2 linked regions of the Coturnix japonica genome follow. The protein of the gene in region 2 interacts with the protein of the main gene of each other region in a biochemical or structural test. Links are inferred from orthologs where the notes say so. Each region holds a gene or a part of one and is shown on either strand. Other genes may lie near its edges. The genes, in order: TRIM62 and CARD9.

Region 1 (4,600 bases), on a different chromosome or scaffold from region 2:
CCGGGAACTTCTCCCGGAAGGTGTAGAGCCAGGACATGTCGTCGGCATTGTAGAAGATGAGCAGCCCCTTGTCATAGTCCAGGAAGACGCCCACTTTCTCCAGCTTGCTCTTGACGTTGAGCCGCGTCCAGGGCTCGGTGCAGGCGCTGTATTGGTTCCCGTCGTGCATGACGATGCAGTAGAAGCCCCGACTGGGCTGGATCTGGATGCTGCCCTTGCGGGTGACGGCCTCGTGTGCCAACCCGATCATCCACTGCGTCTTCTCGGACACCACCACCTCCCAGTAGTGCACTCCGCCGCCGAACGCCTGCGTGCCCAGCACCGACACCTCCACGTCAAAGCGGCGCGGCGAGTCCTGCAGCGGCTGCGGGTGCAGGTTGCCGTAGGCCACGATGGTGCAGTCGTCAGAGAGGATGAGGCGCTGGTGGGCCGTGCCGGGGTCCAGCGTCAATGCAGCGGGCACTGCAGAAGGGTGGGTGTCAGTAACCCCAGCACAGGGGGCACCACGTCCCCCTCCCGCCTCCCTGCCAGTCTCATGCTTACCGGGGTGGATGTCCTGGAAGAGCGACTTCCAGATGGTGTACTGCAGCGGCCCCATGTACTTGGAGGTGGGGAAGTCCTCGTAGGTCAGGTTGGTCTCATGGATCTTCCCCTTCAACCTGCAGGACGGGCAGCGATGGGCACAGAGCTCCACGGGCAGCCCCCAGCCCCTCTGCGCCCACCCACCTCTCAGACAGAGATGCAACACCAGCCAGGAAGGCATGTTTGTCGGCCTCAGCCAGACGCTCCTGCAGGATCTGGCTGCCCTCCTGCACCTTGCGCAGCTGCTGGCTGTAGCGCTGGATCTTCTGCTCGATGTCGGTCAGCGTCCGCGCTGTGTCGGCCTCCAGCTCCTCCAGCATCGCCTTCTGCCGTTCCCGCAGCAGACGGTGCAGCCGCTCGAAGGCCTCCGCGATGGTGGCCCTCAGGCTTTTGGCTGAGGACTGAGGAGGTGTGGGGCAGGGCCAGGCCACAGCGGGACCATCAGCATCCTGGCAGAGCGCACGGGGAGGGGACACGGGGAGGGATTCAGCCTTGCTCCTACCTTGGTGTCAGCCAGCTGCCTCTTGAGGAGGTGCAGAGCCTCGGTGTGGCCTCGCTCGCTCTCCTGCAGACCCTGCAGCTGCTCCTTCAGCTCCCGCTGCAACACAGAGTGCTCTGACCCCGTGCTCAGCCCCGGCCTCGCTGCACTGCCCATTTCCCCACCCCACAGCAGCAATGTTCCACGGGGGTGTGGGGAAAGTGCATAGCTTTGTGCCTGCCCCACGTTCAGGCTGTGCTCCCAGCCACCAGCAGCACGACACTGAAGTGCTGGGAGAGCTGTGAGGCAGACCCATAGATATCTATCGTGAGTCTAAGCTGACACTGTGGTGATCGGAGCCCAAGAGGGTCAGTCCATGGCACAAAGCTGCCCTGGCACAGCAAGTCTGGGGATGAGACTTGGTGCTATTGTGGGAGGTGGGGTCCGGTGTGGGGCAGGAGAGGGTCTGTCTTGGGGTTGCTTGGGGATCCCCAGGGAGCAGCCCAGCAGAGCCACACACAGATGGAGGAACAGACAAATGGGTGGGTGGGTGGGTGACCACACAGTGCGGATGGACAGATAGACAGAGGATCGCACTCCGCTTGTTGGGATAGACAAGGGGATTGCATGGGCAGCAGCACCCCAGAGCCACGTGCAAACAGGCAGAGGGAGCTCTGGCTGTCCTGAATGTGGACAGATGGACACTGTGCTGCACGGTGCACACAGCTGGATGAACAGAACATCCCACAGACACCACAACCCCGGGAGTGAGGGGGGGATGGAAGTTCAGGGACAAACAGACAGACAGATGCCCACCTGCAGCTCATCGAAGGCATCATCCACATTGGTGACCTGGTGCTGCTCGTGCACAGCCGGCTCATCGCAGAAGAAGCAGACAACGGTGCGGTCGGTGAGGCAGAAGAGCTTCACCTTCTCATGGTCCTTGCAGGGGAAGGGGCTGCGCTGAGCCCCCAGGATGGCATCCAGGGGGAAGGCGCTGTAGCGCTCCACGATGTTGGCCAGTTTCAGGCTGGGGGCCAACGTGGGCTCTGTGAAGGTGCGGCGGCACTCGGGGCAGTCACGGGTGCCCTGAGGCTCCTGGCGCACCCAGTGCTCCGTGATGCAGCGACGGCAGAAGTAGTGCTCACAGCCGAAGCTCACCGGGTCCTGGTAGATGCTGAGGCAGATGGAGCACAGCAGCTCATCCTTCAGGCTGCAGGCCATGGCTGGGGCTGCAGTGGGACGGCTGGGCTGCAAAATAGGGGGGGATGAAGGGGTGAGAGTGCGGGAAAAGGGGACAGGATGAGAATGGGGGGCTGCAGCGGGGCTGTAATGAGGCGAGGCTGTAATATGGGGGTCAGGTTGGTAAGGGGGTGGGGGGTCAAGGTGATACGAGGGGGCTATGGGGAAGGATGTAATAGGGGGACTGGGTGTCAGGGGATATGGGGGGGCTGAAGTAGATGTGGGTGATGCTGGGGATGAGGAGGATATAGCTGGGGACTCTGGTTGGTATTAGAGATGCTGGGGGTCGAGATGATAAGTGGGGGCGTGGGTCAGGGTGATATGGGGGTGATGGTGGGGGCAGTGAAGGTGGGCAGCAGGGCGGTACGGGGTTGGTGCTGCTGGGGGTCGGGATGCAATGGGTGGGCTGGGGTCGGGCCATAGGGAGGACTCGTGCTGCGGCGCAGGCCCGGAGCTGCCGCTACCCGCGGGGCTGCAGCGGGGGCACCCGGCGCTGAGGCCGCTCCCGACGGACACGGGTTCGAATCCCGCCCGCAGCTCCGCGCCCCGCCGCGCTCGGGACCCGGGTTCGAGGCCTCACCCGCCGCCGCCGCCTCTGCCCGTTGCCGTGCCCGGGGAAGCGGCCCCGCCGCCGCCGCACACACCGCGCCCCGCCGCGCCGGGCGGGGGGTGGGCGAGGAGCGGGGGGCGGGGCCAGGCCGCACTTCCTGCCTCCCCCCGCCCCGCGCACACAGTGGTACCGCCCCGCCCCATTGTCCCCCGCGCGGCGCGGCCCTGCGGCGCGTACCACCACACGGCGGGGGGGGCCTTAAAGGGGCCGCGCCACATCCCGCCTCCATCTGGACCGTGTTGTTATCTCTGACAAGGGGCGCGGGGGGGGCGGGCACACACAGTGATGGGGATGTAGGGCGGCATCTAACAGCACAGGGATCACCCTGCACACACACACATTCAGTGCTGAGCCCCAGTTCAGCATTGTCCTCGCATTCAGCGTTGTCCCCAAGTTCACTATTGCCCCCAACCCGAAGCGGTGTTTCCAAATCCAACACTGGCACCAAGTTCTGCATCGCCTCCAAATCCAGCCCTGCCCCCGAGCAGAACCAATGTCCCCAATGCAGCTCCGATCTTACACCAAAACATCCCCCCCCCCCCCAAGTTGAGCATCACCCCTAAACACAGCGACAGCCCCCAATTCACCGTCCCCAGACAATGACAGAGACCCCCACGGAGGCACAATGGGAAGAGTTGGGGGTGGGTTCCCCGTCCTGTGCCCCCCACCCTGTGCAGGAGGAAGGATGGGGACGTTTGGGGGCAGCACGCAGCCCCACGGCTGGCTGGGAGCCAACGCAAACATGGCAGCGCTCAGCCCCCCCGCCCCCACCCCACGCAGGGAATGACCGCCCGCTTTGTTCCTGCCCAGGCAGGAGGACGGCCCCGAAGGCTGGAAAAGGAGGGGGGAAAATAAGCCCCGACCAACGGGGGTTTGTTATTTCTGCCCGTGTTTCTGCCGGAGGAATGCGGGGCTGCTCGCCCTGCCAGGACCTGCTGGGGACCGGGGAAAGTTGGAATTCAATCGTCAGAACGCCAGCTGAGCGGGGAAGGGGCGGCACGGCACGGCTGGCATCATCATCATCATCATCATCATCAACAACAACACACATAACCCCAACCTCAACCCCAACGTGAGCCCCAACTCTACCCCAACCCAAACCCAGTTATTCAGATCTCAATCCTAACCCCAACCTGAAGCCAAGCTCTTATCCTAACTTCAGCCCTACCCCAATCCTCAGCCCCTGTGCTGTGATACCAACCCCAGTCCTTACCCCAAACTCAACCCTAATCCTGACCCTAAATCCAAGCCAAATCCAACCCCTCACCCTAACCCAAACCCCAATCCTTACCTTAAGCCCAACCCTAACCCCATCCCTCAAACCCAACACTCACTCCACCTCCTCAACCTGAATCCCAACCCCATCTTTAACCCAAACCCCAATTTGCACTGACTGGTGTGGGCTGGACCCAGCAGCAGCACTGTGGGTTTGGGGCTGGACTTGGGTGTCCCACACTTCCCCTGTCCTCTATCTTCCCATGACTCAGTTTTCCCCCTTAGCAATGGGTTAAGTGTTAGAGTATGGGTCAGGACTGGTTAGGGATAGAGCTGATCAGGTTGGTTAGGGTTTACTTTCAGGTTAGGGTTACAGTTAGGGTTAGGGTTACAGCTAGAGTGAGGGTTGGGGTTAGGGTTGTGTTAGACTGTGTTAGAGTTCAGGTTAGACTTAGTTTTAGGGTTAGGGTAAA
Region 2 (2,993 bases):
GTCCAACCTGGTCTTGAACACCTCCAAGGACGGGGCATCCACAACCTCCCTGGGCAGCCTGTTCCAGGGCCTAACCACTCTCCTAGTGAAGAACTTCCCCCTAACACCCAACCTAAATCTTTCCTCTTTTAACTTAAAACCATTTCCCCGTGTCCTGCTATTGTCAGCCCTTTCCAAGAGTTTACTCCCCTCCTGGGAGTAAGAATGCTTTGACAGCTACTGCAAAACCTCGTATTTAAAGGGCGATGTGCCGATGATGTGACACACCCCCCACACACACACGCACCTCTTGCCCTGCAGGTCGGAGAACCAGCCCAGGTTATCAGCGATTATATGATGGTTGTGACACCCTGGGCACGTAACGATGACGACTCCTCGGCTGTAGGCCAAGCGGGAGATGTTCTGAGCCGAGCGGCGCCGGCACACCTGCAAGGCACGGGTTAGCAACACAACACCGACCGTCGGAGACGCTCCCCTCCCCATCCCCGCACCTTGCAGGTGTACACCAGGCGGTAATGCGATGGCTGCAGCCGCCCCACGCTGCCCGGCGGTGCGGTGCACACACTGCGGGGCAATGGCCGCCGCTGTGGAGGCGCTGAGGAGCCGAGCGCGGCCCGCGCTGCCACCCGCACCAAGCGCCTCAACATGGCGGCCGCGCAGGCGCACAAGAGGCGGCGCTGAGGCTGCGCGGTCGGCCCCACATAGGCCGCCTCCCCCATCCCGACGGTAACGGCACCGCTGTGAGCGCTCAGTGTTTATTGACGGGGCCGGTAACGGGACGTTCGGCCCAGCTCTAGCTGCCCTCCGTGTCCGTGTTGTCGCTGCCGGTGCTGGGCTCCCAGTCGGCTTCATGGCGGCGGCCTGCGGGGGCTCTGCGGAGGGCGCGCTTCCTGGTAACGGGACCGAATGGAAGTGAGGCCTATGGAACCGAGTGTGGGATAGGGACGGGAACGGGACGGGAACGGGGTGGAAATAGGATGGAAATGGGATGGGAATGGGATGGAAATGGGGCCCGACCTGCGGTAACGCTCAAAGCAATCCTTCATCCTCCTCCTCTCCTTCTCAGACAGCTCCTCGTGGGCAGAGCTGCACTCCTCGAACTGGAATGGAACAAGGCAAAGTTGCTCTAAACCTCAAAGCAAGTTGCTCTAAAGCCTTGGATCAATGTTATTATCACACTAGACACGGCTGCTGTGTAAAGATGGAGCCCTTCAAGGCTGAGGTGCTCTACATGATGAGCCCATCTTGGGTTTGTTTGCAGCCCTGAATCTATTTCCAAGAAATTAAGAGGAGAAAATGGAAACTTGTGCCTTAAAATGATTAAGAAGAGCTGGTTGCTACCATAGCCCAGCCCCTGGGATGTGTGTAGAGCCTGCATTGCATCTGCTTGGGCCTGAAGCCTGCTAAATCTAGTAAATGTGTGTGTTTGGTGGCCCTGCTAGGCAGGGGGGTTGGAACTACGTGATCCTTGAGGTCCCTTCCAACCCTGGTCATTCTGTGATAAATCCATTGTTAACAAGCACATGAGTAATTACAAACCCCATTCAGACCAAAGAGAATCATTGTGGGCTCTTACAGTGGGCAACTCTGCAGGCAGATTGCTTTCTCCATTGCTGAACTGCTGGTTTTCGCCTTTGCAGCATTCTTCTGAGAGAAAACAGAAAAGCAAATCACAATCTCAGTCACAGCTGCCATGTTGAAGTAACTTCTCCTTCCACCAGTTCATCACACGGCAATAGCTGTCATGTAAGAGCTGCCCAGCAGTATACAGCATCCACAGCAAGCCAAACCCAGGCCTTGAAACATTCAGTATTCAATCTTGTGACCATTGCACAAGACCCTGCTCATTCTGCGTGACCTCTGAGTCTTGTTTAGACTGGATGGAATTCCCCATAGGATCACCAGACACCATCTGTCTAATTTCTGCTTGTGGAGAAGCAAAATGAACCAGTGCAGAGCAGCACCTCTGCCTAATGTCACTGAAAGAATAATGATGGAGATAACAAGAAGAAATCCCACTAAACATGAATCACAGTTTGTTGGTGTTGGGCCACAGGGAAGATGTGCACATTCAGATACTCAACAGATCGTATTTTAGCTCAACTCCTAATGCAGTGATCAGATACTGTGATATGTCATTCTGATTTGGCTGAGGTAGGGTAAGAAAAGGCTTTGTTTCAGTGTGGCAGCTGCTGTGAAAAGTCTCCCATCTCAGAGAATGATTGCTTAATTCTTTCAGGTGAGGATCTCTGCTTGATTCCTTCCTTTTGGAACATGTTTCAAAGGAGAATCTCAAGCTTTAAAGGACCCTGTTTGCTCTTCTCTGTGCTGCTGAATCATTTCCACTGGGGCTGCCACAAGAACTGAACCAGGGACAGTGTTAATTACATGGTTCTGCTTTTGTGAAAATAGCCTGCAACATAAGAGAGAGGAAAGAAATGTCTCTGGGGAAAGACATGTGGTTGAGCTGGAGTGGAAGGATGCTTGTTCCATTCTCAGCTCAGCCACAAACACGAGAGGACTGTGTGAAGAAGAGGCATCCAGGAGCTGCTTTTTGAAGGCATTGTGTACCAGGTGATTTTGGCTGGCCCAATTCAGAAGGCAGTGCTCAAATGTCTCATTTAATTCCACGAACTCTCATACCCTGCTCCTATTTCACCCAAATGACCAAACCCTCAGTCAGTGGATTCCTCTTCTGCACTAAAAGTGTCTGTTCCTGTCCCTCTGAACACTGGGAAACCCCATCAAGAACCATGCTGTATGTTTTCCCCAGTAGAAACCTTACTTTCAGTCAGGTGTGTATCTTCATCTAGGTGAGCATGAAGAGTAAGCTATTGGGACACAAACAAATTAAGATCATGAGAAGTACTCCATATTCTTTCTCAGACAATAGCTAGGAACAAATGCAGGAACACAGGACACAGGCATATAACCGACCTTCCCCCACTGCATCTTGCTGTAAGCAAAACAGGAAACATTCTGAACTAGAAGCT

Evidence for each region.
Region 1: of the proteins of CARD9 (region 2) and TRIM62, one has a biochemical effect on the other in vitro, tested with the Homo sapiens proteins (4 studies listed by BioGRID, with this or other methods). The link is inferred for Coturnix japonica from reciprocal best matches to the Homo sapiens genes CARD9 and TRIM62.

Annotation. Positions count from the first base shown.
Region 1 is NC_029536.1:5,670,790-5,675,389, reverse strand, and holds the start of TRIM62 (E3 ubiquitin-protein ligase TRIM62), read right to left. Parts: upstream 2,964-4,600; 5' UTR 2,883-2,963; intron 2,312-2,882; 5' UTR 2,285-2,311; coding exon 1,877-2,284; intron 1,181-1,876; coding exon 1,085-1,180; intron 984-1,084; coding exon 727-983; intron 660-726; coding exon 544-659; intron 463-543; coding exon 1-462. UniProt on the Homo sapiens protein: E3 ubiquitin ligase that plays a role in antifungal immunity by mediating 'Lys-27'-linked ubiquitination of CARD9 downstream of C-type lectin receptors; leading to CARD9 activation, followed by activation of NF-kappa-B and MAP kinase p38 pathways.
Region 2 is NC_029532.1:6,407,847-6,410,839, reverse strand, and holds the end of CARD9 (caspase recruitment domain-containing protein 9), read right to left. Parts: exon of another isoform or gene 2,832-2,993; coding exon 2,786-2,831; exon of another isoform or gene 1,648-2,785; coding exon 1,577-1,647; exon of another isoform or gene 1,101-1,576; coding exon 1,018-1,100; intron 913-1,017; exon of another isoform or gene 891-912; coding exon 794-890; 3' UTR 742-793; downstream 1-741. Other genes in the region: DNLZ (DNL-type zinc finger protein), read right to left, coding at 287-426, 492-719. UniProt on the Homo sapiens protein: Adapter protein that plays a key role in innate immune response against fungi by forming signaling complexes downstream of C-type lectin receptors.